Arabidopsis thaliana: one gene and its partner. The protein of the gene in region 1 interacts with the protein of each later gene in a pairwise test. Each region holds a gene or a part of one and is shown in the gene's direction. Other genes may lie near its edges.

Region 1 (5,809 bases):
ACTGTAAATTACTCCATTATAATTATATAACGTAAATAATTGAACCTTACATAGAATGTATACCAAATCAACAAGTGAATACATAATCTCCACCTTCACACTTCAGTCAACTTCTAATGGCCTTTCAGTACATGAATAAATTGTTGGGAGAAGAGGTCATACTTGCTTGAATTGGGTGGAAGTAGTTTTCTAGTGAAGACCAGCCTCTTGGCATAACGTCGGAAAGTAGAAAAATCCTCAGAAACTTAAACACAATCAACAAAGTAGAGTATGAGACCATCTACATCGGTTGATTCTCAAAAAAGAGTTTCTCATGAATAAAATATTGCTTATTTTAATTGAATTTAGATAAAGTATTAAATTTTAATAAAAAGAATAAAATCAATCATTTCTGGAAAAACACGTGGCCATAAACATTTTTCAGAGTTTCTGAAAACAGAGACGATTCTCACTTCTCTCTTCTTTTCACCACTTTGTATTATTTTAATAATAAATATCTCTTTTAAATACTGTTGATGGAAGTGTCCTGATAGGTTTAAAACTTTTTAGTTATTTTTAATAAAAAGTGACTAAATTTTTTATTTTAGTTAAAGAAAAGTGGTTGAGATCTCTTTTAAAAACAATCTATCTATCATATCGAAATGACAAATTAGATAATCGTATTATCAAAAGCTAGATCTAACTAGGAATTGCAAGAGCATATTTTGCAGCCCCATTTCAATCTACTACATGTTGCAAATAGACAAATAGATAATCATATAGATAAAACTCATCAAGGAGATTGACTTATTGTTAACGAAACCAAACCCATGACATAATTTAGTAATGATGTAAGTGTTTTTGTACATGAAACAGTTTGCCACAAGCAACAACTGGACTTATGCCACTGAAATCAACGAAATTAGAAACCATATTAAAACCTAATCCATAGTGCCACGAACACAAGAAACCTACAACGCAGTCGATAAACACTTGCTAGAATTACGTTTCTTAAAGTTGTGCATTAGCCTTACTTCATCTATTGGGCCTTAAAATCATAAAGCCCATTACGAGAATGCAATCGTAAATGTTTTTTTTTCTTTCTTACTCAACATCTATATGATATATCCGTTATCTGTTGGGGTAGCTTAAGCAAAGTCACAACTCACAAATCTATCCATCATTCAATGTAACAAATCTATTGCTTTTTTAGTTAAGAAGAGAATTTATTTAGTTTGCATCTCCTATTATTTTAACAAAACTAATAATTTTTTGCAAATTTTAAAATTATATCTCAACTTTATACATATAATCAAAATGTGATTTCACATAGCCACATTCGGAAAGTATAAACCAACCATTCTACAAACAACCAACAAGTCAATGTTTAATTACGTTTTTCAGGTTAATTCAGAAGTTGTTCCAAATCGAATCTTTCCGTAAAAGGCAAAAACATATCTAGACAATCCAACAAGATAACTAAGTCATATTCAGATTCGTTATATAACTTATATAGCTTTCTACTGACCGTTAGTTGCAATTATAGTTTATCTAATATTAAACTAACTTTCTTTTTTGTAACTAAATACTCTCGGGTAAAAAAAGTCCTAACAATCTCATTTTTTGATAACTGGATACTTTAAGATAAAATCCAAACTAATCTCCAGCTCTTATAAAGATCCACTAGAGAATTATAGTAAACATTCTTGAGTACAAGTTGTTTTCGTATTCTCTTGATTCTTTAAAAAAAGCATATCCAATAAACAAATGATGTTCTCGTAGAATCGGCAAATTGCAAAAAGATGAAAAAATAAGAAATAGACGCAATTCTGTGACAACTAAAATATCCTTTTCACATATAGCGACGTCTCAGTCACTAAAGAACCGATAGAATTGGAATTTGTAGGTCCCACATTTATTAATATACCTCTTAAATTAACCAAAAATAATTCAATAAGTAAACTATTACTTAAATAATAAAAAAATAAGAGCCATCGTGACTTCGAGAGAAGAAGCCAGCAAGGAACGATGGAGATTATTACGGCATCATCATCATCATCATCATCATTGTAATTCGTAATCATATCTTCTTTTGGAATTTCTTCACGGATAAGAAAAAAGGATATCGACAATTTCGCTTTTGCTTTCAAAATCTCATTCTATCACTTTGTGCCTTTTTTAGCCATCGCGAAAAACCTCTGAATCGCATCCCTTGATTTTCTGGGTTTGTGACTTTGTGTAGTGGAAATTAGGCTTGTTGTTTGATTTCGCTACGAGAAAATGGACAAGTACGAGCTTGTTAAAGACATCGGTGCTGGGAATTTTGGAGTGGCGAGGCTCATGAGAGTCAAAAACTCCAAGGAACTCGTTGCTATGAAGTACATCGAGCGTGGACCTAAGGTTCTTCTTCTAACTCTCAAATTACTTCCTTTTACGTGTGCAATTTTGCAAGTTGGAGTGTTCTTCTGCTTCGTTTATCTGGGATTCTTACTTTTGTGAGCATAGTACTGGTTCATTGTCTTATAAGATCAAAGATTGAGTATGTGATTTTCAATCCTTTTTTTTCTGGTTTTGTTTTGGTGAATAGATTGATGAGAACGTGGCGAGAGAGATTATTAACCACAGATCACTTCGTCATCCCAATATTATCCGGTTTAAGGAGGTAACTGCATTTTTTCCATGGCTTCATGGTGTCATGTTTAAACCGATGGTGATTAGTCTCAGCGGAAGTTGGTATCCTAAGTTCACTGTTGTGGCATTTCCAGGTGGTTTTGACACCAACGCACATCGCCATTGCTATGGAATATGCTGCTGGCGGTGAGCTATTTGAGCGTATATGTAGCGCTGGAAGATTCAGTGAGGATGAGGTGAGCTTCCCCTGGCATTTAAAGATTTTAAGTCATGGTGGTGTACTAAATGATCAATTTCAGAGTTGTATTGTGGTCTGAGATTAATTGAGTGGAAAGGAAAGCGGAAATCTTGTAGAATTATATTTGTGTTTTGTAGTACAGGAAGCAAAAGGAATATGTGTTGTAAATCATTTGGAGCAGCTTCTCCGATTATGATAGCTTTTTGTGCACATCTTTGTTTTCAGGCAAGATACTTTTTCCAGCAGCTTATCTCAGGAGTCAGCTATTGTCATGCTATGGTAAGAGAAAGAAATGGGTTACGAAGTTTTTTTAACTTCACAGATATACATAATTTCTGCGGTATCAGTCCTTTACTTGCATTAGTTCCTTATTGTCACAGCAAATATGCCACAGAGATCTGAAGCTTGAAAATACCCTCTTAGATGGAAGTCCTGCTCCACGCCTGAAGATCTGTGATTTTGGTTATTCCAAGGTCTGCCATATATCTCCAGCATGCACTTGAATGTGCTAGTGATTTCTTAATTTATCCTGTTGTAACAAGCTCCTCTTTCTTCTTTTTCCCTCCATTTGCGAGGCCCCTTGTCACTTCCATGTGAGCTATTTTTCTTCTTTTGTAGTCCTCACTGTTGCACTCTATGCCCAAATCAACTGTTGGAACTCCAGCATATATTGCACCTGAGGTTCTTTCTCGCGGAGAGTATGATGGCAAGGTAATCTTATTGGTTTGCAAGTATTAGTATATCAAGTATGCTTAGCATCTTGATAGAGACATCATAGTTTGAAAAAATTTCCTGCGTAGTAATGTAGCTCTTTCAACTTTTTCTCATGCATAATATGTTTATACATCAAGAAGGTATCGCCCATATTGGCAGATATCTGCTGTGGCCTTGATAGATTTGGGCAGTAAACATGTCTTTTTAATTATCCAGGACCAGAATGTGTTATTTTTCCATTTTTTATCATTTAATCGCCATTCCTTTTTTGCATTTCTCGACTCTTTAAGTGCGTTTGTTCATTGATAATTATAAGCTTTCTAGCCTTGAGCCATGCATAAAGAATTTTTTAGAAACGCAATGGATCCCAAATACTTATCTTGACCCATATGCTCTATGAAATTGTTATGATCTTATTGTTTGGATTTGGAAACATCAACTTCACAGAAATCATCAGAGTTTTGGTACTTATATTCTTCCTTCTCACTCAGATGGCTGATGTATGGTCTTGTGGTGTGACTCTTTATGTCATGCTGGTGGGAGCATACCCATTTGAAGACCAAGAGGATCCCAAAAACTTCAAAAAAACAATACAAGTAGGTTTCTTTGTTTTTGCATTCTTTGCTTAAGAGTTGACACGACACCACCACTGATCGTTGTGCCACATTGTTACAGAGAATAATGGCTGTCAAGTACAAGATCCCGGACTATGTCCATATCTCACAAGATTGCAAACATCTCCTCTCCCGTATATTTGTCACCAACTCGAATAAGGTATCATCACTCTGTCGAAAAGCTTGTCCATCCTTTTTGAGATAATTACTTGTATAACTTATCATTTTTCTTGTCAGAGGATTACGATAGGTGACATCAAGAAACATCCATGGTTCCTAAAGAACCTGCCAAGGGAACTTACAGAAATAGCTCAAGCTGCATACTTCAGGAAAGAGAACCCGACATTCTCACTCCAAAGCGTCGAAGAGATAATGAAGATTGTGGAAGAGGCAAAAACTCCAGCTCGTGTTTCTCGGTCGATTGGAGCATTTGGGTGGGGAGGAGGAGAAGATGCCGAGGGCAAGGAGGAAGATGCAGAGGAAGAAGTTGAGGAAGTAGAAGAAGAAGAAGACGAAGAAGATGAGTATGATAAGACGGTGAAGCAAGTGCATGCTAGCATGGGAGAAGTCCGAGTCAGTTAAAAAAAAAGATTGATTTTCTTTTCACGAAAGTATTCTAAAACCAAAAAAAAAAGAAAAAAAAGTTTTCGTTGGTCTGTCGAATTTGTCTCTTGCTCTGTGTTGAGTTCTTATTTTCTTTTCTTGGTCATAATTTTTAAGGTTAGTCTCATAAATGCTTTGGAATTTTGCTTCTGAAAATCTTGTAAAATCTGCAGTAGAAGAAAGAACAAACTGGTTTGATGATAAGTTCGGTTTGGGCGAATAAAATATTTTGTATATTATATGGTCTATTTTGCAAATTACCTCAGATTTCACCTTGTTTATTTTGCTAATTAATTTTCATATACAAACAGAGCTTAAAAATTACAATTTACAACATTTTTATACTTGTGAAATTGAAATCTCGTGTAATACTATTTTGTCATGTTATAATTTTTCAAAAATTTATCGTTGCTGTTTTTAAAATATGGATTTAAAACCGATACATGGAATTATTTTCCTTTGAAATCAAAATATATTTGTTTTTGATGTCTGTGAAAGTGAGGGAGAGAGAGAGTGAACCTTTTTAACTATCCCGCCATACGAAAATCGCAGAAAGCTGTAATTGGAGACGCGCTCTTTCTTCTCTCTCGCCTCGTGATCTTACCGGAAAAGTTTCGTCGCCGGAGTTTCACTATTTCGCCGCAGAAGCACTAGAGTTTCATCTGTTTGAAAATGTAATCTCGATCTTCCCGTTTCCCAGTCATTTCTAGGGGTTTTTGTTCGCTTTTTCTCACACCGATTCATTTGCGAATAATTTTTGAGTGTATTGTTCGGTGTTCGTCTGTGTGTAAAGAGGAATTTTCGTTAGTTATAGCAGAATCGCTTCATCTTCTAGTTGGAGAACTTATTAGCTTCTGGATTTGGTTAGTTCTTCGTTTTCCTATGCATAGATTTTGAAATTAATCGTCAAATTCGTTGTGGTGTATTGTAATTGTCATAGCGATCATGATTACAGCTCAAAATCGGCACAATTGTATCTTCCAGCTGGTACAGTATGCAATTTCTGCAGTTTATGTTACAATTTCATCAG
Region 2 (4,194 bases), on another chromosome or scaffold:
TTCCATTAAAAAGAAGTTACTTGATTTTATTGGGTTGATTAGAACAAGGTTGTTGGTATAGAAATGTTTGTGAAGCCATCGAAAAAGAAGAAGAAGATGACATTAATTAAACTCTAAAGTAATTTTGTCAATTCAGTTCATAGAAAATGCATAACTCTATAAGCCCATTGTAAAAATGCTCAATTTCAAATTTTTGGGCCAAATATTACTCATTTCTGTAAAAGCTCCATCTAAAATTAGTCTAAACTAGGTCTAATATGTAGTGAAACGAAAGGTCCATAGGATATATTGGACAAAGATTAATACGAAGAGAATTAAAGCTAATGAAGTTTGGGGAAAGAGTAACACAGACCTGACACTTGTTCTATCCATGGGAGCTTGCCACGTCAATCTCATTGTCTTTGGACTCGTAGACAAACATAACTTTTTTTTTTGGTCCGTAGACAAACATAACATGGGTGGGTTATTACTTTTTTTTTTTTTTGGACAAAAAGGTGGGTTATTACTTATTAATTTCGATTAAGAGATTTTCATGGTTTCGTATTCGATTTTATTTTTCTTCTACCGAATCAGAACGGGTACTTCTTTTTGGGTTCAGAAACAAATTCATGTTTGATTTGGCTGGGGTATTATTAGTGGTATCAAAGCTATATAGAAAATGATTTTTTTTTTTCGGGTGGTGATCCATACCCTTACTATCCAACTAATTCTCTCAAAAAGTGTATACTTCGGCTCGCCGAATTTTTTAATGAACCTAAAATATAAAACAACTTCGATTGGTTAAGGGTATTTCCAATAGTGATCTTTATATTTTTCTCTATTTACAGAGGTGACTTTATTTTAGAAACATTGTGCTCTAATGGTTGTTGGGTATGTTTCTCATTGGGTCTTTTATAAAATAACTAAGCTTTAATTCCAACAATAGTTACCTCTAAAATAAAAGAAAAATAGAAATATCTACATTGTATCTCTATAAATAGAAATGTCTACAATTTATCTCTATTTTTCCTTTATTTTTTAAAAAACTCTATTTTAGAAGTGACCATTGGAGCACAATGCCTCTAAATATAATCATTTTTAAAATATAGAAAAATATAGAGGTAACCATTGGAAATGGTCTAAGTGAAAGTGATTTAGAAAGAAAATATTTTTTTTTATGCTAAGATATGGTGAAAATGCGAAATTGTTTAGATAAAAACATCATTTATGAAATGAGGAACATATAACATATCTGTTAGTCACAATTGAATAGTTTTCTCAATGATCTAAAACATAAAATAAATTAATCAGAAAAAGAATATGATGATGAGGAAATGTGATTATTTGTAAAATATATAAAATTTCATGACCCTGTTTTATTTTCTTTTTTTCAATTGTCCTTTGGCATTATAAGCCTCTCCATTCTGGGAACTTTGAAAAATCAATCACATCAGGCTCAGTTATCTTTTACTCAACCAATAAGTTGCTTTCCATTACCACTACCAATATTAATGTATAAAATAGATAAATATATACAGTTATATCTTTCATATTCATAATCACATGTTGTGACATTATTGTAATGACATAATACAAATATACACTTCTTTCTTCTTTTCAAAACCATATTTAACTCGAAATGAGGTCAAACTCAAATTATGATATGATATGGTGCTCATAAGTCATGGATCTAGTTTTTTATATACGTGTTTAAGTGGTTGTAGTGCATTAATCTATTTGATCGGATTTGAAGATAGATTAGAGATATATTATGTAAGCAAAACTATTAGAAAAGTTGAAAATATATAATTACAAAAAGGTAAAAACAAACAGAAAAGTTGGTAAAAATTAAAGCAAAGATCACACACACTTGAAAGCGATTTAAAGGGTCTATTGAATTGTTGTGATATTAAAGTGAGACCAAAACCATAGCTTATTGGTTACCTTTTCAAAACAAAGAATCTCTTTACCCACCAACTCCAGATTTAAGTATCATGCATTCATGCTAATTGGTAAATAATTCCTTCTGTAACATAAAAATGATTATCTTAGGAGAAAAAGTTTGACGTCACATAAGTCATAACTATAGATTTATCACTATCAAATTTTGGATTAAGTGACAAAAAGTCATTACATTAACATATTTTGATTTTGTTTTTTTTCTTTCTAGAACAATTACATCTCTGTTTCTTCTACTACTGGACCCAACCATCATGATACTAGAAATGACCATTGAGAGACAAGAAGTTCACAATCTTTCTCTCTCTGTCTCAAAGCTATAAGACATTTGACATCCCAAAACCAAAAAACAAAGCATTCTATGCTATTCTGTTCTGTTCTCCAATGTTGTCATCAGCAAAGCATAATAAGATCAACAACCATAGTGCCTTTTCAATTTCCTCTTCATCATCATCATTATCAACATCATCCTCCCTAGGCCATAACAAATCTCAAGTCACCATGGAAGAAGTATGGAAAGAAATCAACCTTGGTTCACTTCACTACCATCGGCAACTAAACATTGGTCATGAACCAATGTTAAAGAACCAAAACCCTAATAACTCCATCTTTCAAGATTTCCTCAACATGCCTCTGAATCAACCACCACCACCACCACCACCACCTTCCTCTTCCACCATTGTCACTGCTCTCTATGGCTCTCTGCCTCTTCCGCCTCCTGCCACTGTCCTCAGCTTAAACTCCGGTGTTGGATTCGAGTTTCTTGATACCACAGAAAATCTTCTTGCTTCTAACCCTCGCTCCTTTGAGGAATCTGCAAAGTTTGGTTGTCTTGGTAAGAAAAGAGGCCAAGATTCTGATGATACTAGAGGAGACAGAAGGTATAAGCGTATGATCAAGAACAGAGAATCTGCTGCTCGTTCAAGGGCTAGGAAGCAGGAATGTGTCTCTCCTCACTCTTCTACTTTCTAATTCCTCTAAATCAACAGAATCTCGTATTAAATCAACAATTCCTCTGTACTAAAATTGGTCCATGGATCTTTCAGGCATATACAAACGAACTTGAGCTTGAAATTGCTCACTTGCAGACAGAGAATGCAAGACTCAAGATACAACAAGAGCAGGTAAAACTAACACTGACTTCTTGCTTTAATGCCTTAGTCTAATTTTGTCTTGAGAAACTTGTGCATTACTTCTTGCAGTAACTTTTTCTTGTGAATGTAAGATTCTGCTACTTAAGGCCAATATTTTTATTTTTCTGTTTTTTGGAAAATACAGCTGAAAATAGCCGAAGCAACTCAAAACCAAGTAAAGAAAACACTACAACGGTCTTCCACAGCTCCATTTTGAGAAAAATCTACTATTTCTTTTTGGGGGAGTTTCAAGTGTTTCTTATGAAGATGAGAAAAACAGAAAAAGTTTGTACATTTTAGCTAAGTTAAATTTGTGGTGGTAAGTAATGTAAAAGAAAAGTGTGTGTAGAAGAAAAGTGTCTAGAAAAAGAAAGCAACTAACTTTCTTCTTCTTCTCTGGTTTCCTATCAACTCTTTTGACTTTTGTACTTTTTTTCTTCTCTACTTAACCTCTATTATTGTAATGCCAAGTCAAGTCCTTATCTAGCTAGTACATGAGTTTCTGTTTTCACTGGTTAAGCCATTACTGCACTGTATTGTCAGATGATATAAGTCTTCATAATGATGCTAAGAAGATTTTTTCTTGGTTGACTTCTTTTTGTGTATGCTTTATTAGCAACCAGAAACAACAGAGAAACAGAATAAATACCTAAGAGCAAATTTGGTAGCATCTAATGTTTTAATAAAAGTTGGGCCATGAATATGCTCACATTATAAAGTTGGCTTTATTAGTAACCAGAAACAACAGAGAAACAAAATAAACACCTAAGAGCAAATTTGGTAACATCTAATGTATAAATAAAAGTTGGGCAATGAATTTGCTGACTTCCTTCTTGTAGCAACTTTAAAGATGCTACAAATGCTTGCTTCATTCTGATCCAATAATATTTGTTCTTCTGATGCATCCACCTTCTTCCTCAAACATTTGGAACCAATCTAAAGGAATAATTAACAACAATATGATAGAGATGACATGTTATTCAGTGTAAATTTCTTAACTTTATTTAGCAGGCAGCACATAAAAAATGGGAAAGAATCAGCTAATCTTGATCCTCTATTTGACGAAAATAAAATCTTCAAAATACCAAAAGCTATGAACAAAATATTCAATCTGCAAAACTAA

Evidence for each region.
Region 2: the proteins of SNRK2.10 (region 1) and BZIP27 interact in a two-hybrid assay, tested with the Arabidopsis thaliana proteins (one large-scale study listed by BioGRID).

What each region holds. Positions count from the first base shown.
Region 1 is NC_003070.9:22,438,347-22,444,155, reverse strand, and holds SNRK2.10 (SNF1-related protein kinase 2.10), read left to right. Parts: upstream 1-1,934; 5' UTR 1,935-2,048; exon of another isoform or gene 2,049-2,221; 5' UTR 2,222-2,259; coding exon 2,260-2,379; intron 2,380-2,566; coding exon 2,567-2,641; intron 2,642-2,744; coding exon 2,745-2,846; intron 2,847-3,073; coding exon 3,074-3,127; intron 3,128-3,228; coding exon 3,229-3,321; intron 3,322-3,466; coding exon 3,467-3,559; intron 3,560-4,053; coding exon 4,054-4,158; intron 4,159-4,237; coding exon 4,238-4,336; intron 4,337-4,413; coding exon 4,414-4,758; 3' UTR 4,759-5,093; downstream 5,094-5,809.
Region 2 is NC_003071.7:7,720,664-7,724,857, forward strand, and holds BZIP27 (basic region/leucine zipper motif 27), read left to right. Parts: upstream 1-2,161; 5' UTR 2,162-2,322; coding exon 2,323-2,910; 3' UTR 2,911-2,984; coding exon of another isoform or gene 2,985-3,062; intron 3,063-3,216; coding exon of another isoform or gene 3,217-3,288; 3' UTR 3,289-3,628; downstream 3,629-4,194. UniProt on the Arabidopsis thaliana protein: Transcription factor required for the transition to flowering promoted by FT.